Linked DNA regions of Canis lupus familiaris. The protein of the gene in region 5 purifies or fractionates together with the protein of the main gene of each other region. This does not show direct contact. Links are inferred from orthologs where the notes say so. Each region holds a gene or a part of one and is shown on either strand. Other genes may lie near its edges. The genes, in order: IBTK, POP1, RPP40, RPP38, POP7 and RPP30.

What was found.
Region 1: the proteins of POP7 (region 5) and IBTK purify together in Homo sapiens (affinity purification with mass spectrometry; 3 studies listed by BioGRID and IntAct, with this or other methods). This does not show direct contact. The link is inferred for Canis lupus familiaris from reciprocal best matches to the Homo sapiens genes POP7 and IBTK.
Region 2: the proteins of POP7 (region 5) and POP1 purify together in Homo sapiens (affinity purification with mass spectrometry; 3 studies listed by BioGRID and IntAct, with this or other methods). This does not show direct contact. The link is inferred for Canis lupus familiaris from reciprocal best matches to the Homo sapiens genes POP7 and POP1.
Region 3: the proteins of POP7 (region 5) and RPP40 purify together in Homo sapiens (co-immunoprecipitation; 4 studies listed by BioGRID and IntAct, with this or other methods). This does not show direct contact. The link is inferred for Canis lupus familiaris from reciprocal best matches to the Homo sapiens genes POP7 and RPP40.
Region 4: the proteins of POP7 (region 5) and RPP38 purify together in Homo sapiens (co-immunoprecipitation; 3 studies listed by BioGRID and IntAct, with this or other methods). This does not show direct contact. The link is inferred for Canis lupus familiaris from reciprocal best matches to the Homo sapiens genes POP7 and RPP38.
Region 6: the proteins of POP7 (region 5) and RPP30 purify together in Homo sapiens (co-immunoprecipitation; 4 studies listed by BioGRID and IntAct, counting the BioPlex papers as one, with this or other methods). This does not show direct contact. The link is inferred for Canis lupus familiaris from reciprocal best matches to the Homo sapiens genes POP7 and RPP30.

What each region holds. Positions count from the first base shown.
Region 1 is NC_049233.1:42,951,455-42,954,954, reverse strand, and holds part of IBTK (inhibitor of Bruton tyrosine kinase), read left to right. Parts: intron 1-819; coding exon 820-937; intron 938-1,088; coding exon 1,089-1,269; intron 1,270-2,961; coding exon 2,962-3,085; intron 3,086-3,500. UniProt on the Homo sapiens protein: Acts as an inhibitor of BTK tyrosine kinase activity, thereby playing a role in B-cell development. Down-regulates BTK kinase activity, leading to interference with BTK-mediated calcium mobilization and NF-kappa-B-driven transcription.
Region 2 is NC_049234.1:470,078-473,577, reverse strand, and holds part of POP1 (ribonucleases P/MRP protein subunit POP1), read right to left. Parts: intron 2,532-3,500; 5' UTR 2,530-2,531; coding exon 2,388-2,529; intron 186-2,387; coding exon 18-185; intron 1-17. UniProt on the Homo sapiens protein: Component of ribonuclease P, a ribonucleoprotein complex that generates mature tRNA molecules by cleaving their 5'-ends. Also a component of the MRP ribonuclease complex, which cleaves pre-rRNA sequences.
Region 3 is NC_049256.1:6,410,279-6,414,361, forward strand, and holds the start of RPP40 (ribonuclease P protein subunit p40), read right to left. Parts: upstream 2,801-4,083; 5' UTR 2,740-2,800; coding exon 2,617-2,739; intron 2,531-2,616; exon of another isoform or gene 2,193-2,530; intron 2,128-2,192; exon of another isoform or gene 1,973-2,127; intron 611-1,972; coding exon 466-610; intron 1-465. UniProt on the Homo sapiens protein: Component of ribonuclease P, a ribonucleoprotein complex that generates mature tRNA molecules by cleaving their 5'-ends. Also a component of the MRP ribonuclease complex, which cleaves pre-rRNA sequences.
Region 4 is NC_049223.1:20,577,873-20,581,799, forward strand, and holds the start of RPP38 (ribonuclease P protein subunit p38), read right to left. Parts: upstream 2,801-3,927; 5' UTR 2,664-2,800; intron 2,524-2,663; exon of another isoform or gene 2,245-2,523; intron 2,063-2,244; exon of another isoform or gene 2,059-2,062; 5' UTR 1,879-2,058; intron 1,837-1,878; exon of another isoform or gene 1,220-1,836; intron 1-1,219. UniProt on the Homo sapiens protein: Component of ribonuclease P, a ribonucleoprotein complex that generates mature tRNA molecules by cleaving their 5'-ends. Also a component of the MRP ribonuclease complex, which cleaves pre-rRNA sequences.
Region 5 is NC_049227.1:8,960,925-8,964,973, reverse strand, and holds the start of POP7 (ribonuclease P protein subunit p20), read left to right. Parts: upstream 1-1,249; 5' UTR 1,250-1,415; intron 1,416-2,514; exon of another isoform or gene 2,515-2,562; intron 2,563-2,953; exon of another isoform or gene 2,954-3,346; intron 3,347-4,049. UniProt on the Homo sapiens protein: Component of ribonuclease P, a ribonucleoprotein complex that generates mature tRNA molecules by cleaving their 5'-ends. Also a component of the MRP ribonuclease complex, which cleaves pre-rRNA sequences.
Region 6 is NC_049249.1:5,743,745-5,746,276, forward strand, and holds the end of RPP30 (ribonuclease P protein subunit p30), read left to right. Parts: intron 1-118; coding exon 119-228; 3' UTR 229-2,032; downstream 2,033-2,532. UniProt on the Homo sapiens protein: Component of ribonuclease P, a ribonucleoprotein complex that generates mature tRNA molecules by cleaving their 5'-ends. Also a component of the MRP ribonuclease complex, which cleaves pre-rRNA sequences.

The DNA.
Region 1 (3,500 bases), on a different chromosome or scaffold from region 5:
CAAGGATCTTTGTGGTTTCAGGTCTCACATTTAGGTCTTTAATACATTTTGAGTTTATTTTTGTATATGGTGAGAGAAAGTGGTCCAGTTTCATTCTTTGCGTGTTTCTCTCCAGTTTTCTCGATAAGATTTGTACGAAAAAGACAAAACAATTGTCTTTTTCCCCATTGTAAACATTCATTCTTCCTTTGTTGAGGATTAATTGGCCACATAATTGTGGGTTTATTTCTGAATTTTCTGTTCTTTTCCATCGATGTATGTGTCTCTTTTTATGCTAATATCATGCTGTTATAGTTACTGTTGTTTTGTAATATAACTTGAAATCTGGAATTGTGATACCTCCAGTTTTGGTTTTCTTTTTTGAGATTGCTTTGGCTATTCCTGGGATGCAAGTGTGATTCAGTATTCATACAAGAATCATTGTGATAATACATCACATTAGTAAGAGTCATCTGGCTGTAAAATCAATAGTGCCACTGTTGAATATGTCACATTTAAAAGTGTTGAATTTTCTGATAGAATGAGAATCCCTGTTTTGCATGTTGCTTGTTGAAAAGTTGAATGATTTGGTTTTTATACTGTTAATTTTTTATATATTAAAACTGCTGACTTAAAGTTGCTGCATCAAAATATCTTGTGTTCTGAGAAGGGTTGGAGTCTCAGTGCTGACATCTTCAGTGAATTCTGGCATTAGAACTTGAGGGGGCACTGGTAGTGGGTATGTCATATATTTGCTACTCTGGTCTACTGGATCTTTAAAAAATTATTCTAGTACTTGGTAATATAATAAACTGCTGTCTTACTTATCTTTTTGAATAGATGCAGGCAAAATATCTGAAAGGAAGGACAATCATTGGAGTAGCGGCAGGCAGGTTTCATACAGTGCTGTGGACTAGAGAAGCTGTTTACACTATGGGACTAAATGGTGGACAACTGGGTAAGAAATCTTGATGACAATATCTGAAAAGTAAATTGAATTTTTTTTTATTTTATTTTTATTTTATTTTTTTTTGAATTTTTAAAACAATAAAAAATTTAAAAATTTTTTAAAAATAAATTGTTTTTTATTTATTTGTCTGATTTTTTAGGTTATTTGCCAGATCCCAATGGAGAAAAGTATGTAACTGCTCCTCGTCAAGTCTCTGCCCTTCATCATAAGGATATCACTTTGTCTTTAGTTGCTGCAAGTGATGGGGCCACAGTCTGTGTTACCACAAGGGGAGATATTTACTTACTTGCAGACTATCAGTGCAAGAAGATGGCTTCTAAGTATGTTATGTGTATTTTTGTAAAGAAATATAATTTTAATAATAATAATTCTTCCAGCAAGACTTAGAATATAAGCTTTATGTGCTATGTTCTAGAGTGTCAGATGAAGAAAACTGAATGGAGAAAATTTAAAACTGAAAGGGAAAATCAAGAGTTTTTACCTTTGAGCTTAGTCTTTGAGAAGCATCCAGGGAGCATATGTAGAAGTTCTCTGTAAATTGTTAAACAGTATTTCAGAACTATATTTAACATATGGTTAAATGTGACCTATAAATTTCTTTTTTTTTTTATGCTTCAGGTACATAGTACTAGATTAATTATAATTCTTGGTTTGTGACACAATCATCATTGGTTCATGTGTGGCTTTCTTATGTTATGCATTTATTTATTTTTTAAAAATAGCTAATTATTTATCATGGATTCTCAGTCCATGTGTTTATAATTAACTGGTATATTTTTTATCTTTATATTTGTGTAGCCTTTTGTTACCTGAGAGTAGGATATAGTATGATATATCCTATAGTAGGATATAGTAGCATGCAGTAAAAACTAGCAGTTGGTTAGCTCATCAAAAAAGCCAGGTAAAGCAGGGAATCATAAAACTAAGGTGTAAGCATGGATGTGTCCGCCAATTGGAGTTCCTTAGCTTTTGAGCATAAACCTACCCATAATGTATCATCTGTGATTTCATTTTGAACACTTAAGGAGGAAGCTCTTAAAAACAATTGTGAGGTAAATTAATATGGTTAGAGTCCTTTACTTTTCATATATTTCAATCTTTTATAGTTGATTAATCCATTTCTGATTTGACAGCAGTATTTTGCTATGCATTTTAATGTGTCATTCCAAAGTATTCAACTTTTTTTTTTTTCAAGATTTTATTTATTTATTCATGAGAGACACAGAGAGACAGGCAGAGAGAGAAGCAGGCTCCATGCAGTGAGCCCAATGTGGGACTCGATCCTGGGACTCCAGGATCACGCCCTGAGCCGAAGGCAGAAGCTCAACCTCTGAGCCACCCAGGCGTCCCCAAAATTAAATTAGTGATGATTTTCCTGGTAGCTATTAGCTATTTAGGGTTGTTCATATTTGAAATTAAAGATTTGTTTCATTTTGAGGTTTTAAGTTTTTCTGGTCTGTTAGGAGCTTTTAGTCTTATCAGTTAATTAAAGTAGAGTGAAGGGATCCCTGGGTGGCACAGCAGTTTAGTGCCTGCCTTTGGCCCAGGGCACGATCCTGGAGACCCGGGATCGAACCCCACGTCAGGCTCCCGGTGCATGGAGCCTGCTTCTCCCTCTGCCTGTGTCTCTGCTCTTTCTCTCTGTGTGTGTGACTATCATAAATTAAAAAAAAAAAAAAAAAAAAAAAGTAGAGTGAATGTGTGCATTCACAAGTGGGACTTTAGATTTCAGAGGTGTGTGTGTGTGTGTGTAGGTACAGGCATTTGGGAGGGAAGGACTTGCTATAAAAAGAAACTGCCATAATGTAGGGGAAACTTAAAGAGAAAGGAGGGACTAAGGATACCAAAGGCCAAATTGTCTTACTTCACGTGTCACAATAATCACTGTAGATTATTGTTTGAATAGTAATTTCTTAAAAATTGAGCCATGTATATTTTAGAGAACATATTTTTTTTTAATTTTTTTTTTTTTTTAGAGAACATATTAATGGAGAGTTTTCTTTTTCACCTAGACAACTAAACTTGAAAAAAGTTCTTGTTTCTGGGGGACGTATGGAATACAAGGTTGATCCTGAAAATTTGAAGGAAAATGGGGGTCAAAAAATTTGCATTCTTGCCATGGATGGAGCTGGAAGGGTAAGTGTATATTTATGCAAAAGTGTAGTAAAGAAATTTTGTTCTCAATTGATAGCTGTAAGGGACCTGATAATGTGAACATGTATTATTATGATGATGATGATTCCCATTGACTTTTTTCTCTACTTACTTTTGACATCAGTAGTAATTAGTATGGAGCTGATATTTCAAAGAAAGTTTGATGACAATTAATGTTGCACAGTACAGCTTTGTTAAACTGTAGCTTAAAATTTCATTTACTGTGCTTAAAATGGAAATAAGGAATTTTGATGGATTATTTGATATGTAAACTGAGTATGGATGAAGATATCAAATCGCATAGATATATTTTATATAACAGCTCCTTAAAAAAAGTAAAAGCTGAACAGGCAAAATTAAAAATTTTGTAATTAGTAAATTTCCCCCAGATTTAGTT
Region 2 (3,500 bases), on a different chromosome or scaffold from region 5:
TCTTCCCAAACACCTACCAGTGATATACTTGGGAATCTCCTGAGACGTGCCCTCGGGACCTGCTTTCCATCCTCCCTTTTTTTTAAACATTATTTTGGAGGAAGTCTGTTCATTCACATCAGGATCAACTGGGGAATGGTAGGTCATTTTGGTTTGCCGCTGTCGTGAAGTTCCAGGAAAAGGGTCTAGTTTATTTTCAAAAAGAAAACGAAAAGAAATATGTCAGGCCTAACAAAGATATGGATTACAGTGGAAAACACCGTTTGCTGAGGGGCAACACTAACATGTTTTTAATTCTACAATCACCCGTAAGGTGGCTATTACTACCTTCCCTTTAAATAGGAGGGAATCAATTCGGGTAGGAAGGTGAATTACCACGTGACATAGTTAGCAGGCAGCACACTGGCTAACCTTGTCAGCATGATAAACTAACCCTGAACATAACTGATATAAGGGCTCTTTTGTCCAAATAGTACAAAATAGATTTTAAATCTTTTCTTTTTAAAGATTTATTTTTATTTATGATAGACATAGAGAGAGAGAGGCAGAGAGAGAAGCAGGCTCCATGCCGGGAGCCCGACGTGGGACCTGATCCTGGGACTCCAGGATCGTGCCCTGGGCCAAAGGCAGGTGCGAAACCGCTGAGCCACCCAAGGATCCCCTAGATTTTTTTTTTTTTTTAATTTATGATAGTCACACGGGGGGGGGGGGGGGGGGGGCAGAGACAGGCAGAGGGAGAAGCAGGCTCCATGCACCAGGAGCCCGACGTGGGATTCGATCCCGGGTCTCCAGGATCGTGCCCTGGGCCAAAGGCAGGCGCCAAACCGCTGTGCCACCCAGGGATCCCGGATCCCCTAGATTTTAAATCTAAACTCCCGGGACACCTGGGTGGCACAGTGGTTGAGCATCTGCCTTTGGCTCAGGTCGTGATCCCGGAGTCCTGGGACCTCCTCCCAGCAAGGAGCCTGCTTCTCCCTCTGCCTATGTCCCTGCCTCTCTCTCTGTGTCTCTCATGAATAGATAAAAAAAATCTTTTTTTTTTTAAAAAAAAGGGAGATACAATAAACACATTGTATTTCTTTTAGGAAATAAAGAATGTAATTTAATAATAACTATGTTAATAGAGATATAATATATCTGCTCTACGTACAGCCAATTCTTTTTTTTTTTTTTTTGAAGATTTTATTCATTTATTCATGATAGACACACAGAGAGAGAGGCAGAGACACAGGCAGAGGGAGAAGCAGGCTCCATGCACCGGGAGCCCGATGTGGGACTCGATCCCGGGTCTCCAGGATCGCGCCCTGGGTCGAAGGCAGGCGCCAAACCGCTGCACCACTTATTCCCAGTAGTTATGCTCTGTAAAGTCACGACAAACCCTGAGTTAGCAAATACTGAACCACTGTTCCTAGAGAAAATACACACACACACACACACACACACACCCCCCTATCACACTGACTGCAATCTCAAATCATAAAAACAATCTCAATCATAAAAACAACTCATCTTGGTACACTGTTTCCTTTTTTTACAAAGGAAAAAAATGGATTCAGAAGTGTTAAGTGATCTGCCTGCGGCTGCCCACAACTGGAACTCAATCCCTAGCTGGAGAGGGAGCTTCCTGGGCTCTGCTGCACTGCCCCACTATAGTCTCTACCTCCACCCTCTGGTCACTCTGTAAGAAAGCTGAAGCAAGGGCAGCCAGGTTGCTCAGTGGTTTAGCACTGCCTTCAGCCAGGGTATGATCCTGGAGACCTGGGATTGAGTCCCATGTGTGGAGCCTGCTTCTCCCTCTGCCTGTGTCTGTGCCTCTCCTTCTCTGTGTCTCTCATGAATAAATAAATAAAATCTTTAAAAAAAAAAAAAATAGCAGCAAGCTGAAGCAAGGAGGCAGCTGGGAACCTCAGTTAAGAATGTCCATGTGCAGTGACTCCAATTTTTTCCCTCTCTTTTTGCAAGCCCATGAATGACCACCAAAGTACCATGAGTATTAATTTGGGGGTAACAAATAAATTTAGCAACTAGGTGAATTTGCAAATACAAAATTTGTGAATAATGAAGGTCAACTGCATCTGTTTTTAATGCAGGTCATTTACTATTTAAATAATAACTAACAATGGGGAGTCTGGGTGGCTCAGTCAGTTAAGCATCTACCTTCAGGTCAGGTCATGATCCTAGGGTCCTGGGACTGAGCCCCATATAGGGCTCCCTGCTCAGTGGGGAGCCTGCTTCGGCCTCTCTCTCTCCCTCTGCCCCTCCCCCCGTTCGTGCTTTTTCTGTCTCTTTCAAATAAATAAATAAACAATCTTAAAAGAAAAAAAAAAAAGAGCTGACTAAAGCATTTTGCTCCAAATAGAATAGAAAGAATATCCTGTGTATCTTACCTTGTTTTTGAGCTTGGAAAGGTCTCCCACCTCCATTATGGTACTCTATGCCCCTATCGGCCACAAAGCCAGAAGATAAAGTAACATTTGTGGGCTGGTTTCTCATTTTCTTAGCATGTTTTCTTTCTTTTGCATTAGACATTTCTGAAAAGGAAGAATAAATTTAGTACAAGCAAAGAGAACTTCCATGCAAAATAAAAATACACTTAGTAAATAAATATTCCCGTAACTCAAAATTTGATTCTTTAATATAACCAATCTTCATTTATTATAGGTGGATTGATGATATCAAAATGTTATCACAATACTGACCTACAGAGATTTATCACCAGGGGTATTTCTAGGGGAGCCATGAATGGTATTGGCACCAAAAACCCAATTCAATAGGAAAAAAAATAATTATATTAATGGAAGAGACCATTATTAGTATATTCTAGATTACACTGCCAGATAATTCAATCATATCCCAATGATGACACTGAACAGTCTATTGAAAGAATGAAAAATGAGGTATAAGATCTCTCTGCCATAGAAAAAAATTCTTAGGTGAAACAAGAGCCACGTGAATCAATGAAATATAGTACACACTATTCTGATATAGCCTCTACAAAAACTGAACATAAATTACTGATGCCACCAAAATGAGGCCAGCTGTACCTTTAATTTATAACAGCAAAAAATTTCAATTTGAAATAAGGAATAAGGATAAAGGACAAAACCCCTGAGGGAACTTGACAGATTTACTCAGTAGTTCTCAACTTTCAAACTCAACATCTCCCCCCCTTTTTTTTAATGATTTATTTTTTTATAAAAGAGAGAGAAAAAGAGCAGTAGGGAACAGGCAGAGAGAGGGGTAGAGAGAGTCTTAAGCCTACTCCCCAGACTGTGGAATCGGACTTGGGACTCAATCTCATGACCACGATCATAACTTGAGCTGAAATCAAGAGTCAGACACAACCAACTGAGCCAACCAGGCTCCCCTCCTCTTTTTTTTCCAGAATGGTTTGAAACACCTGTTTTCTTTTTTGAAATGAAATTCATTAATTACATAACCTACTGGACATATGCCTTTTACACACACACACATATATATATATATACCCTAACTATAAT
Region 3 (4,083 bases), on a different chromosome or scaffold from region 5:
CAGGGCACCTGGGTGGCTCAGTGGTTGAGCATCTGCCTTCGGCTAGGATCTGATCCCAGGGTTCCGGGATCGAGGCCCAGCATCAGGTCCCTGCGTGGAGCCTGCTTCTCCCTCTGCCTGTGTCTCTGCCTCTCTCTCTCTGTGTATCTCTCATGAATAAATAAAATAAAAAAAAAAAAAAGAAAAAAAAGAAAACACAGATCCCAAGACTCTCTCCTCTCCCTGAATCCTTGTTATGTTACATCCCCACGCCACACGTGGACAAGTGTTGTCAGAAACCACCATCTAAAGGGACCATAAGAAGCAGCAGGGTGAGGATGCTGAGGGAGGGGGAGTGATGCATGCACATGGCCACACAGACTATCTCCAAAGGCCCTGGTTAGGACAAGAGAAGAACCCTAGTACTGCGATGTAATCTAACTGTACTTCCTCGTCTTGCCACGTTCACGACAAGGTTCTTCTTACCTTTCTTCACAAAGGTGTTGATGAATTCCTGTGTAATCAACTCATGAAGAGGTAAGTTCTTCACGAAGTAATAGGGTCCAGTTTCCATGACGAGGTTCTTCAGTTCTTTCGATAGTATCCCACACTCAGGAATCAGAAACGAGACCTATTGGAATGTGTCACGTAAGTCTTATTTTCAAGGAGATCAACCTCCAGCTTTTTAAGGATGCTATAACATATGAAGGCTGCTAACTAGTCCCCCCACAGGTTTCTATAAAACCCTAAAGTTAATTTACCCATCTTAGGAGAAGAGAAATCTGACAATTCACGTTTTTCATTTTCTGTATTCAAACATTATAGGAAAGCGAACAAGCAAAAAAAAAAAAAACTGTTATTAACGGAAAGCTCTTGTTTGCATTTCATCTTTTGCAAATAAGCACTATGTTTTATATCCTGCCCACTGCTCTAATTAATTTTTAGGGAAATACGGTACAATGGAATAACCCTGGGTTTTTTTTTTTTTTTTATCCTGGTACCAGGCTGGAATCAAGAGGACGGTCCCTTAGGACAGAAGGAAATTAAAGACATCCATCAGTAAGAGGCTCCTGGGAAGCAGAAGTGCTTCTGGCTGTTTCCGCTTTCTAGGCAGGTGTGCGGGGGCGGGGCAAGGTACCCGGGCAAGGTACGGCCAGAGACCCGCTCTCCCTCCCCCGCAGAGGAGCTGCACCGAAACTGTTTCAAGTGTTGCCCGAAACGGTTTCAAGTGCTGCCCGGTGCTCCAGACCTTGCAAAGCCCTCCCCTCAAACATCAGTCGATTCCTGAGACACGGGGTCACCACCTGGGTCTCTGGGAAACAGCAGGTCAGGCCTCGGTGGACAGGAGGCTCATGAATTCAAAATGTTAAAGGCAGGGCAGGCCGGGTGGCTCAGCGGTTAGCACCGCCTCCAGCCCAGGGCGTGACCCTGGAGACCCAGGATCCAGTCTCACGTCGGGCTCCCTGCATGGAGCCTGCTTCTCCCTCTGCCTGTGTCTCTGCCCTTCTCTCTCTCTCTGTGTTCTCATGAATAAATAAATAAAATGTTTAAAAAAAAACTTTTAAAGAGCAGTTCGCGGGCAGTCGGGTTGCTCAGCGAACCTCCTGCAGCCCAGGGCCTGATCCTGGAGCCCCGGGATCGAGTCCCACGTCGCGCTCCCTGCATGGAGCCTGCTTCTCCCTCTGCCTGGGTCTCTCTGCCTGTGTGTGTGTGTGTGTGTGTGTGACTATCATGAATAAATAAATAAAATGTTTAAAAAAAAACTTTTAAAGAGCAGTTCGCGGGCAGTCGGGTGGCTCAGCGGTTAGCGCCTCCTGCAGCCCAGGCCGTGACCCTGGAGACCCAGGTTCGAGTCCCACGTCGGGCTCCCCGCATGGAGCCTGCTTCTCTCTCTCTGTTTCTCATGCATAAATAAATAAAACCTTTAAAAATAAAATAAAACGGAAAGGGCTTAAAGCATTGCTCGGGTTGTTTCTGGAGCCTCGCCGCTTACGTGGGCCGGTGAGGAGGGGCCCTGGCCCGCCGCTGGTCCCCGTCCAGTCCTGCGGGACGCGGGAGGATCAGCCTCACCGATGCCCCCGCGGACGCCGAGGCCCCCACGAGGAGGAGGAGGAACTCGCACGGAGCGACCGGCGGCGTCACCCCGGGAGGCTCCCGGGCGGTGCCTGGAGCAGGGCCGCCCAGCCCGCGCCCGGGGACCGCGCAGGGCGAACCTCTCTCGGAGACAAGCTGGCTCCCCCGCAAGGCTCTGGCTCGGCCACCGGCTCCCACCAGGCAGCAGCAAGAACCGCTCGGGGGGCTCCGCGTCGCGCCCACGTCCCTCCTGGGAAAGCACCAGCCGCGGGACCGAGCAGCCAGCGAGCTCTGCAAACCGCCCGGGACGCGCCGCCGCCCCCGACAGGAGAGGGCACGGCCCCCGCGCCCAGCGCATCCTGGAACTTGTATTCCTGCAGCTCCGCGAGCGGCCACTCTGGAGCACAGGAGAGACTACAATTCCCAACATGCCTGGCGACGAGCCCCGCCCCCTCTACGCGTTAAGGGCGGGCCCGCCGCTCCGAGCTGAACGCGACTTTCCCCAGACCCCTCCAGCTTCCGGGGATGAAGCGATGCCCGAGAGCCCGCGGCGGCCGGACTCACCCGGTAGTTGTGATAGTGCGTTTCCACCAGATGCCGGTGGCGCGACTTGTCGTGGCCGAAGTTGGATTTCTCGCAGACCAGCAAGTGCCGAGGAACCTCTCGCAGCCGGCGTAGGGTGGCCATGCTCTCCGCGGCTCCGGCGCTGGGCGGGCTCGGCGCGCCCCGCCCCTCCTCGGCGCCCCGCCCTTCCTCGTCACTTGGCCCCGCCCCTCCTCAGCGCCCCGCCCTTTCTCGTCACTCCGCCCCGCCCTTCCTGTCGCCCCGCCCCCTCCTCGTCACTCCGCCCCCTTCTCGTCGCCCCGCCCCGCCCCGCCCCGCCCCTTGGGCATGCGCAGTTCGGCGGCGCCGAGCGGGCTGGGGCGGCCTGTGCTCGGTGATGCGCTGGAGCTGAGGCCGGGCCTGGGTGCAGGAACCTCAGCAGAAGCTCGCCCGCCGGTGCCTGCAGCCGCAGATTCATCACCTAAAATGGAAACACCTGGCGCGTGGAAAGCCGGAACTTGCCTTCTCAAACCCGTCTTTCTCCCCGTGCCCCCCTCCTCCCTCGCGTCTGTCTCTGGCCGAGCATCCTCCTCCCCCTGGTTCTTCCCCAAAAGTTAAGGAACTCTGCGCAGGAGGAGACCTCACGGTTTCCTTTTCCTGCCCTACAGTACGACTCCTTCGGCGCCACTTTAAGATCCCTTCTTTAAAAATCCCATCTGAACGGCTTTTAAAAATGTGTTGCTGTTGGGGGTTGCGGAGAAAATTCATTTTTCCATGACTTTTCCAATCAGGTACCGCATTGGTGCAAAATTCATTTTTCCATGACTTTTCCAATCGGGTACCGCATTGGTGCAAAATTCATTTTTCCATGACTTTTCCAATCGGGTACCGCATTGGTGCAAAATTCATTTTTCCATGACTTTTCCAATCAGGTACCGCATTGGTGCAGGCTTCTTCCCAAAGCATGTGCCCAGGCCCAGTTCTGTGCAGAGAGGATGCGGAACAGCAGGCTGATAGGACTTTCTGGAGCTTCAGTTTTACTATGAGATTTGCAACAGCTGAAGTTCAGCAATTTACAAGGTAAGTATTTAAAAATTTTAAACTGAGACAAGGCTGGAAAGTCCATCTGCCCATTAATGTCAGTGACCTGTGCCTGAAGTGTCAGACTATCTGAGAAAACCATGAAAAACACATTTCCCCGTATTTACTTTTAAAGATTTTATTTATGTATTCATGAGAGACACACAGAGAGAGGCAGAGACACAGGCAGAGGGGCCCGACGTGGGACCCATCCCAGGACCCCCGGGGTCACGCCCTGAGCCAAAGACAGATGCTCAGCCGCTGAGCCACCCAGGTGCCCTTCCCCTTATTTTAAACAGGAAGAATTATAGGGAATAGCAGGTGAATTGAAAAATTCTACCAATTTTCTAAGTCCTGGTATGGCACCTCGATATGTTACCACTGTCCTTTTAGGAGATCAGATGTTTA
Region 4 (3,927 bases), on a different chromosome or scaffold from region 5:
AAGTTTATGCTCTTTCCATCCTGGCTGCACCTCAAAAGTAACCTGTTGCCTTTTAAAAACATACAGGTGGTTGGTCCTTATCCTGGACGTACTGAACTGGAATCCCTGGGAATAGGACCAGGGTACCTGTATTTGTCAAAGCTGCCCAGATGACTCTGATCCAGAACAGGGTTAGAATAGCTGGGATAGGACAGGCTGGCCCTTGACACCGGACAGGCCTCCTGAGAAATGAAAAATGGCCTCCTGACTGCCACTGGTCTCCACTGCTCCTCCTAAGTCCTCTTGTAACAGAAATCCAAACTTCAGCTCCTCCAGGGAGTGTCGGACCTTGTTCAGGACCTTGATGCCAGAGCCTCAGTACCTGCTGTGCAAGCTGCTTCCTTCATACCAGCCCCTCTGCACAGCCATCCTCACTGACACCTCCCCCCTCATTTTCTCCATGTTCCCCCCAAGCACAGAGGGAGTCAGGAAGCAGACCAGCTAAATCCAGTCAGGATTGGTAGAGGCTGGCATCAGGTTGAAGGTCAGGAAGACGAGCAAGACAAATATGACTGAACAGAGCTCTTGCCAAACTGCAAGTCAGCTCATGTGCCTCAGCATCCAAGCAGCATGATGCTGAAATCCTTAAGTAATACTTATACTTGTGTGCTCTGGAGAGACAGCAAGTGAGGCATGAACTCCTGTTCTCAGAATCTAGCGGGAGAGACGAGAGCCAAGTAGTTCAGATAGAACAGAACCTTCCACCAGATAATCCAAGAGCAAAATACTGATTGATGAGAAGGGATGGTTTTAGAGCAGAAAAACATGAAGGCCTTGCTGAGGTGCCTTTTGGGCTATGTCTTGGAGGCACTCACCACCTATGGGATCAAGTGCAAACCCTTTACAGTGACCTACAAACCCCACACACACTGACTCTCACCTCCCACCAGCCTCTTCCACCATTACACCCACTTACTGCTTATTGAGGCCACCAATTTCTACCCTCCCCATCTTTTTAATTTTTATTTATTTGTTCATGAGAGATGGGAGAGAGAGAGGCAGAGACATGGGCAGAGGGAGAAGCAGGCTCCATGCAGGGAGCCCGACATGGGGCTTGATCCCAGGTCTCCAGGATCACGCCCTGGGCTAAAGGCAGGCGCTAAACCACTGAGCCACCAGGGCTGCGCCCCCCCTCCATCTTCGTACATATTATTCCCTCTGCCTGGAATACTGTTCCCACCTTCGGCCCCACAACCACCTTTCTTCTTCAGCAAGTATTTCTGGATTATCCACAATGTACCAAACCATAAAGTATTAGCGTAAAAACAGTTACTGGCCTCAACAGAACTTAGAATCCATGAAAACAACAAATGAGCAGGTAATAGTACAAGAAGATGTGCACATTCAAGTCTGGGAATTCTAAGGATACTAAGGAAACAGCAGAAGCATGAATTAGCTGAAGGGGAGAGAAAAGATGTCCTGGAGAAAGTGACCTTTCAACCCTGCATCTGAAGAGTGCCAGCCAAAGGGGGCATGAAGCAGAAAGAGTACCCCAGGCAACAACATTAACGAAATGAAGGAAGTTCACGCCGCTGGGGAAGAGATGCTAGAGATGCTGAGGTATCAGGAAAGGGAGGCGAGGACCAGAGGGTGAAGGTCCCGCAAACCGCATAATAATGGAAAGCAACTGCAACGTTTGAGACACAAGAGCGAGCGTGATTTGAAAGGCCCTGCAAAACCATCCTTGCGGAAGCCCGGGGCCACTCCTTTGCCAGAAGTGGAAGGAGGAGCAAAGAGGTTCCCAGGGTAGGCTCGATGGTGGCCTGCACCAGAGTGACCGCAGAGGGAACAACGGGACAAAATTACATGCAGTTGGAAGAGTTAACTGGTGGAACCTACCCGGCTTGGAGCTATCAATAGGAAGTAAAGGACTCAGAGATGCCTTCCAGGGGATCCCCGGGTGGCTCAGCGGTTTAGCACCGCGTGATCCTGGGGTCCCGGGATCGAGTCCCACGTCGGGCTCCCTGCGTGGAGCCTGCTTCTCCCTCTGCCTGTGTCTCTGCCTCTCTCTCTCTCTCTCTCTCTGTCATGAATAAATAAACAAAATAAGAAAGAAGAAAAGAAAAAAAGAAAAGAAAAGAAAGAAAAAAGAAAAGCCTTCCGGAGGGGGTTGGGCGGCAGCCCCAGGGCCCGCAGGCTGCGTTCCTGCCCCCGAGCTCCTCCCTCCCCGGGCCTGCCGCCCGCCTGTACCGCCGCATCCTTCACCATTTCGCCCGCACACCGCAGTCCTACAGGGATCCGCCCGCACTTGTAGGCCTGGGGCACTGAGGGGCCGGGGGGCGAGGGGGGCTTTATCTCGCCGGTTCCCGCGCCCTAAGATGCTCAACCCCAGGCAGAGACAGGAGAGGAAACCCAGGCCCGGAGGCGGAACGTAGCCCCCGTCGCGCTGGGGCTGCCTGGCCGGACGGACAGGTCTCCCGGAGAAGACCTGGGGACCTCGCGTGTCCCCCCGGCGCCCGCGTCCCGAGCCGGACCCCACCCGGGGCGCGCCCCTCCCGCCCCCGCGCCCCGCGCCCCGCTCCCACTCACGACCGCACCCCCGCCGTCTGCACGTGCGCCGCGCGTGCGCAGAGCCCCCGCCTCTCCGGCCCCGCCCCCCATGCTCAGACCGCTTCGCATCTCACCGTCCCCCTTGTCACTCACGGTGGGGAGAGTCGGCCCACAGCGTCCAAGGCCCGAGCCACAAAAGCCCGGAGTCCGGGATCGCGGGCCGGGAGGCTCAGGGCTGCGCCCCACCGCGGCAGCGCGCAGGCGCAGGGAGACCTCACTGCGAGCCTCGCGAGACTTCACGGTTGTCGTGGTAACGCGTCGCTCTCGGTCTCGGTGGCTGGTGTGAGGGCTCGTCGGTCGTCCCCCGAAGCTGTTTGTCACATCTGCCGCCCTCTCGCTTCTAATCCAGTCTCTACCTCTCTGCTCCCGGGAGCCTTGGCTCGCTCGCCCTCTTCTCGCTTTTCGGTATTTGGCTTGCCCGAGGGGAACGCAAAGCCCCAGGCCGTGCCCCAGCGTCCCCCGGCCTCCGTCGACTCCCCGGCACCGGGGAGGTCAAGATGCAGCGGGGATGAGGGGTGGTCTGGGATAAAAACGCGCTTACAGGCAACCGTGCAGGCGATCTTGCCCCCCACCCCCGCCCCTCCCGAAACAGGCACGGGAAGGCTGCTTTGGAGTGTGCGACAGCAGCTCCGAAAACTCCCCCAAGTATCTGCTGTAGCTGCTCCGGCCAGTGAAAACTGACGGTAGGAACGGGGTCGCTGGGAGGTCCTGGACGACTGCGAAACGGCTGGAGGACGTTTGCAAGGTCAGGCATCGGAGCGTGTCGATCCACCCGGGGCCGGGAGGGCGCTTGGAAGAAAGTAGGTTGCTTCTGACCTGAAGAGCCTCCTCCCTCCCTCGCCACCCCCTTCCTTTCCCTTTCCAGCCTAACTTAGCTCCCCACCCCCACCCCCACTTACTTTTCCTCTCCCTGTCTTTCTCAAAACTTGTCCTTTCTCAACCTCTTCTAGGCTCGTTTTGATTTTCCATTTCTTTTTTTAAATTATTTTTATTTATTTATTCATGAGACACACACACAGAGAGGCAGAGACATAGGCAGAGGGAGAAGCAGGCTCCATGCAGGGAGCCCGACGTGGGATCCGATCCCGGGTCTCCAGGATCGCGCCCTGAGCTGAAGGCAGGCGCCTAAACCGCTGAGCCACCCAGGGCTGCCCTTGAATTTACATTTCTTAATCTGTTTCCTAACATTCTGGGTTTTTAGCACCGACGTAGCACCTAACTGGCCGTAAAGTAAGCAAAACAAAAAGCCCGTGTTCCTTTTGGTTCCGAGATTGTTGCAGGTTACCCATGTGATTTCTAAAAAATATATTTATTTATTTGAGAGATAGGGAGAGCACG
Region 5 (4,049 bases):
ATCCGGCGGACAACTGACTTAGCATCTCCCAGGGCTGGGGCCCAATGAAAGACCAGACCGGGAAGCTTACTAGGAATTCTAACGACTGGGTAAGAAAGAGGGTCTCTTTCAAGTTAACTCGGGGGGAAGAAAAGAGGCAAAGTGTGAGGGACCGTAGCCAGGAGACTAAGCTGTTAGAAACGGACGGGCAACAGGGAGGAAGGAGACCCCAATGACCAAGCATTAATGTCGCCCGCTGAAAGGAAATTTAGGTGAAGACCCAGCGGAGGTGCTTCGGTTAAGAAAAGCTTCCACGTTGGCCAAAGTCATGGAACGCCTGGACTTTAAGACCCGCAGGGCCCAGCTAATTCCGGTCAAAGCCCGGAGGCTCGTTGGGGGAAGTCTCCGGGGAGCGCCGGGCACTAGGGTCGGGGGGCCGGGGCAGGCCTGGCGGAGGATGCGGGTGGACGGGAAGGGGCCGGGCAGGGCTGCCGAGGTGCCAGAGGACGACCGTTAGGAGCGCGGGGGTGGGAAGGAGGCGGGCCGCCCGGGAGGACGGCGTGCCCTTCAGGGAGGGGGCGCCAGGTGCGCGAGGCGAGGGGCGAGGGGCGAGGGCGTCCTCCCTCGGGGCCGCGCCGAGGAGGGGCCGGCGGGAGGGCGGACGCACCGGGCGGCGACGGCGGCAGCGGCCTGGGCAGAGAGGCGGGAGGGTCCGTGCTGGCGGCCCGCGCGCTCGCTCTGGCTCTCGCAGGCTCGGCGCGGCCGCCTCAGCGTCGGGGGCGGGCCTGCCCCGGGCCCGGCGGCGGGCCGGGGTCCGCGGGGCCGCCGAGCGCTTACCGCGGCGGGCGGGCGGCGCGAGGCTCCGGTCCCGGGGCGTTGGCGGCGCGCGGCGGGCCAGGGGGCGGCGGCGGCGGCGGCGGCGGCGGCGACGACGACGGCGGCGGCGGCGGCGGGGGAGGGGGCGCTGGCGCTCCCGCGGCGGCCGCTCCTCTCTGTTTGTGTTTGTAGCAAGATGGCTGCCCGCCTCGCACCACGTGACGCGGACGCGGGGCCGCGGGGCCGCCCCCTCCGCCGCCGCGGCCGCCTCTGCAGCCGCCGCCGCCGCTCCCTCCGTAGCCCCGGTCCCCGGCGACCCGCACGGCCTAGCGCCCGCCCCGCCTGCCCAGTGGGGAGCCCTGGCGCCCGCCGCCCCCGAAATTACCCCCCCGGCACGTGACCCGAGGCCTGGCTCGTCACGTGACGCAGGGCCTGCAGCGGGCCGGGGTGGGGGGTGGGGTCCCCGGGGCACTCCTCGGCTGCCCCCCGGCTGCTCCCGGCACGTGACGCGCGACCGTCGCGACGGAGGCCGCCGCAGGTGGCATCGCAGGGCTCGCCTCTCCAGTCGGTTTCCTCCAGGAAGCCCACCTGGATTGAAGGAGACAGCATACGATCCAGAGGTGTGTTAATTAGAAGTCCTGGGATATATAAAATAAGTGAGGAACTAATCATTTGGAAAGTGTCCGAAGCAGCACTGGCTGATGAGACCCAGAGTTTCCATCTGGCTCCGCCACTGACTACTAGCTTCTAGACCCCGGGGGCAAAGCAGTTGATGGGGCCTCAGTTTCACTTTTAGGTCAGGTGTTACGCTGTTCTCCGCCCCACCCCCGACCTCCACCCGACTCCATTCCCCTAGTGCTGGAAGAATTAAAATAGGTGAATGTGAAAGACGGTGAAGAGAGAAATTATTATGCAAATATGAGAAGTAGATTGACACCTCCTTTGTTTAAAAAAGGGGTTTTCAAGAAAGATTTTTCCAAGTCCCTGAACTTTTTAGGGTGAAAGGTTTTTTGTTTTGTTTTGTTTTTTATCCCCTGTGTATTTTCACCTTTTTGGCGGGGTAGGGGGTGCTGGTTATTCAGAATGTATACTGTACTTTCCGGCTTCCTAAAACGGCTGTTAGCAAACACAGTGTAATCCTCAGGACGGAGAAAGGTAAAGTGGGACTTAGAACTTGAGTGTCTTGTGTTGTGCCAGAATGGAGCGCAGACCTCAGGAGCTACCAGAAGGCCCTTTGTTCCCGCACCAGTGTTCCCCAGGCTTCTCTGTCCTAGCAGTTTTAGTATCTGTTTTGTTTTGTTTTGTTTTGTTTTTCCCCAGTTCCCTTCACTTTCATGCAGTCAGGATTTCTTAGTGCTGTTGGTCTCCCCCGCTTGCTGCGAGGCTGGAAAATAGCAATTGTTTAAAGCAAGGGCTCCCGTGCAGATTTCATTCATTACTGCCTGTGGCCTTGGAAATAATCTGTTCCCTCTCTGGATTGTCTGGTAAAGCATTTAACACACTGTTTGGCACAGGGCAAGTACTCCACAAATGTTAGCTGATGGGGGGGGGGGGGCTTCTGGTTTTACAGGAGAGAAGATATAAAGTTGTGAACACTGTATAAAAATGTATCGACAGAATCCAGGCTTGGGTGAGAATTCTTCACCTAAAGCTTATAAGCTTATGACAGTTTTTTTGTTACAAACTGTTGTTGCTTTTTTTTTTTTTTAACTTTTCTAGATTGTGTCCTGGGTGATGGAAGTTCCCAGCAGCCAAATCTCTGAATGAGTAAGGTCTTAGCATGTCTCGATTGTTAATTTAGCAAATATGAGATCGCACATTTTTGGTATAGGGGAAAGGGGGGGAGGGATGTCTGTGGAATGCCATCTGTAGGGAATGGTGGGGCCCTGTGCTAAGCTGGAAGGAAGACACTTGGGTAGGTTTAGGAAGAGTGGGGGTCAGCTATACAATAGTCACATTCCTGGCTAATGGGAAAAGAGCACCTGGATCCCTAGTTGGGTGAGAAGGGAAGCGAAACTTCAGCTGAGGGCTTTGAATGCCAACATGAAAATGTGTTTGATCTGAGAGTAGCACCCACTAGATGCTGCCTGGCAAGGAGCACGTGCTGGACTCCAGGGTACAGGGTTGGAGCGATCACCAAGGGTTCCTTGTGTTCCAGCTTGTGACCCTGGCCCAGTAATCTCCTCCAACTGTAGAGCTGGGGAAAATGTTGCTGCTGCTCCTGTTGCTGAAGACACTGTGGAATTTGAATCTGTGAAGTGTACCTCTTTGAGAAAGAATATTGAAATCAGAACCGTGCATCTCCCATATGGAATGAAAAAGAGAATTACGAAAAAAAGACTCAGACCTAAAATATTTTTGTTTATTCCGGTGCTATGCTATTAAATGTCTTGGTCTGTGTTTTAAATTGTTGGGCTTTTTGGGGCTGGATGGCTCAGTGGTTGAGCGTCTGCCTTTGGCTCAGGTCATGATCCTGGGGTTCTGGGATGAAGTCCCCCATCAGGCTCTCTGCAGGGAGCCTGCTTCTAACCTCTGCCTATGTCTCTTCCTCTTTCTGTGTCTCTTATGAATAAATAAATAAAATCTTAAAAAAAAAAAAAGGTGGTCTTTTGGGCACCTGGGTGGCTCAGTGGCTGTCTGCCTTTGACTTAGGTCATGATCCCAGGGTCATGAGATACAGTCCCACATCAGGTTCCCTGCAGGAAACCTGTTTCTCCCTCTGCCTAAGTCTGACTCTCCTTCTTTGTCTCTCATCAATAAATAAATAAATAATATCTTTTAAAAAATAAAAATAAATTGGCGGGTTTTTGAACTGAAGAGAAAGATTTGGTTAGGTGATTAATCAAGATGAAAGGGAGGTCTGAAGTCTAAACAGCCAAGCACTGCCTTTTTTCCTAATGGCAGATTCCTCTGTAGTGTTTGCCTAAAACAAAATGCAAAAAGATAAGTACCATCTTATTGTCAAATCAGTTTATTACAGTGCCTGGCTTCACTCACCTAAATCACAAACCGTTCTACATTATCTGGATGTCAACATTTAGAAAACATTTTTCAGATCTCATGAAAAGACACACTTCTTGAGTAATAGAGTGATAGTTCGTTTTTGGGTTTTTTTAAATAGTTCGTTTAACAATTCTTTTTTTAGGGACACCTGGGTGGCTCAGTGGTTGAGTTGTCTGCCTTTGGCTCAGATCATGAATCTGGGGTCCTGGGATCTAGTCCCACATCAGGCTCCCCTCAGGGAGCCTGCTTCT
Region 6 (2,532 bases), on a different chromosome or scaffold from region 5:
CTGGTTTTATCATTTACTAATGTTATAAGTCAAAGTAACATGGTGATACATGTTAAACCACCACTTTTTAAATCATGTCTTAACTTCAAGCCCTATGGTTTCCCTGTCTGTTTTACAGAAACGAGAAAAACTGCTTTTGGAATTATTTCCACAGTGAAGAAACCTCGGCCATCAGAAGCAGATGAGGATTCTCTTCCAGCTTGCAAGAAAGCCAAGTGTGAGGGCTGAAAAGAATCCCCGGTCTCTGTCAACACTCCCTTCTTCCCTTTGATAATCCATCAGTCACAACAGAAACAAAACCTTTATGACTTACTATTTTCATTCAGAGCTAGAACTCAGCAGTCTATAAAAACAATTTTATATTCAAGCCATTAAAATAACAAAACCTAGTGAAGCAGTAAAAAAGACGACTGCCCACTTAATTAATTTAGATATATTTTGAGAGAAAGAGACAAGTTTATTTATTTTTTGTGTTAAGTGATAAAACGGCAGATATAACTGAATAAGATATTTCAGGAGGAGACTCCTTAAAAATGTTTCTTCTTGGGCAGCCTTGGTGGCTCAGCAGTTTAGCGCCGCCTTCAGCCCAGAGTGTGATCCTGGAGACCTGGGATCGAGTCCCATATTGGGCTCCCTGCTCAGTGAGGTCTGCTTCTCCCTCTGCCTGTGTCTCTGCCTCTCTCTCTCTCTCTCTCTGTCTCTCATAAATAAAATAAAATCTTAAAAAAAAAAAAAGTGAATGCATCTGCATTTAAAAAAAAAGTTCTTCATTTAAAAATACATGCTTTGCTGCTTCACTTCATATACATGGCTTATTATTTTTTTAATCTTACCATTCAAAAAGGGGTTATTTTGAGGCCTATGAAGACTTACTAAGGGGTTGGCTTTTAGTTGACTTATTTCTATTGTAAGCCTGTCCTTGTATTCATCAAGTCAGAGTTCTTTCTGAAAACAATTGCTATAAAATTTTTGGAAGGAGAGAGAAAAGTATATGTAAAATTACACATGGCCTCTTCCTCTCTGCTGGTTTTACCTCCATGATGTTCTTGAAATAGAATTCCCTCCTTTGATTGGAAGTCTCTAAAAACCTAATATTGATTTTCCTCATAGTAGTACTAAAAATATCAAACCATTGTACTCAACCAACTCTGAAAAAAAAATTTTTTATGTAGCATAATCATTCAGTTAAATGGAAGTAGCCTTTTTTGCAAGTGTCTGTATTCATGTTATATTGATATAAAAAAAATAACTTCAGTGAGAAAAGCAACAGTATTCTGAGAAAAAAGATAATTTTTAAAAAAGCTTTATATCAGTCTCACTTATGAATATAGATTCTTAAATAAAATATTGGTAAAGAGAGGCCATTAAAATAATATACCATGACAAGTGAGATTTATTCTAGGAATATAAGGATATTTCAGTTCTTTTTAATGTACTGTATTTCATCATATTTATTAATCAGATGAGAAAAATCAGAATCCTTTTAACCGGTGCAAGTAGGACATTTGATAAAACTTAAAATCCACTCCTGCCATAAAACCAAGTAGTAGAATATTTCACACACACATATGTATGTCTGTATATATTTGTATATTGTATGTAGTAAGCATGATGTCTCTAAGAGCATTTTTGTGTGCCTTCCACTTGAGCAATTTGATGGATTAGTCAACTCCATTCCCTCCGTAAAACTGATGTGGCCACCGCTGAGCCCACACGCTGCAGTCCACCACTTCCTCCAGGACTAGCTTACTTTTGCCCCCACCCCACTTGAACTCACCAAAAGTGAATGTGCTTTATTCTCAAGTCTGTTTATACTACTGTGGTTAGCATTGTAAAGTTATATACATCAACTAAAAATTACAAAAACTGTTGCACTATGAAGGACGAAAAAAGAATTCCCAGGAATTTCAAGCTTTTGAAAGACTTAAAAAAGATGAGCCATTAAAAAAATCTGCCAAAATAGGTGTGAACAGGACAACTAAGATTTGGGGTTTGGGGAGTGCAGTAAAAATTCCACACTTGGATTGTTTCACTCAAGTCTTCAGTTCTCTTTCTTCTTTAAAGATACTGGAACTCAAAAAAAAAAAGATATTGGAACTCAAGAAAGGCAGCTGATGGATGCCCTATCAGGGGGTCGACACTCCCCAGAGCAGATGCTGATCTCTACAGTTCGGCACATGAGTGTGCATTTATATATTTTGAACTCAAAATGTTTAAGGGATCGTATGTTCAACTTTTTTCTGATGTCCCACCTTCGTCTACTGTTTCAACCAACTGGTTTATATGTGTCTATTTGCCCCAGTTGTATTGCAGATAGAGTATTGAAGACCTCCAGTTAGGAAGAAGGTAGAGTTATTGCAGGTGTGACTGTTGTCTTCAAAAAAGAAGCAACTGGGAAAAGATTAGAACTAGAGTTGCTCCTTCATTTATGCACATCTGTTACATATTTGCAGTTGTGCCTGCTTTCTGTTTATGGACAGGTACTTATCCTGCTATTCAGAATAGATAGGCATGATGGCAGGTCCTCAGTGA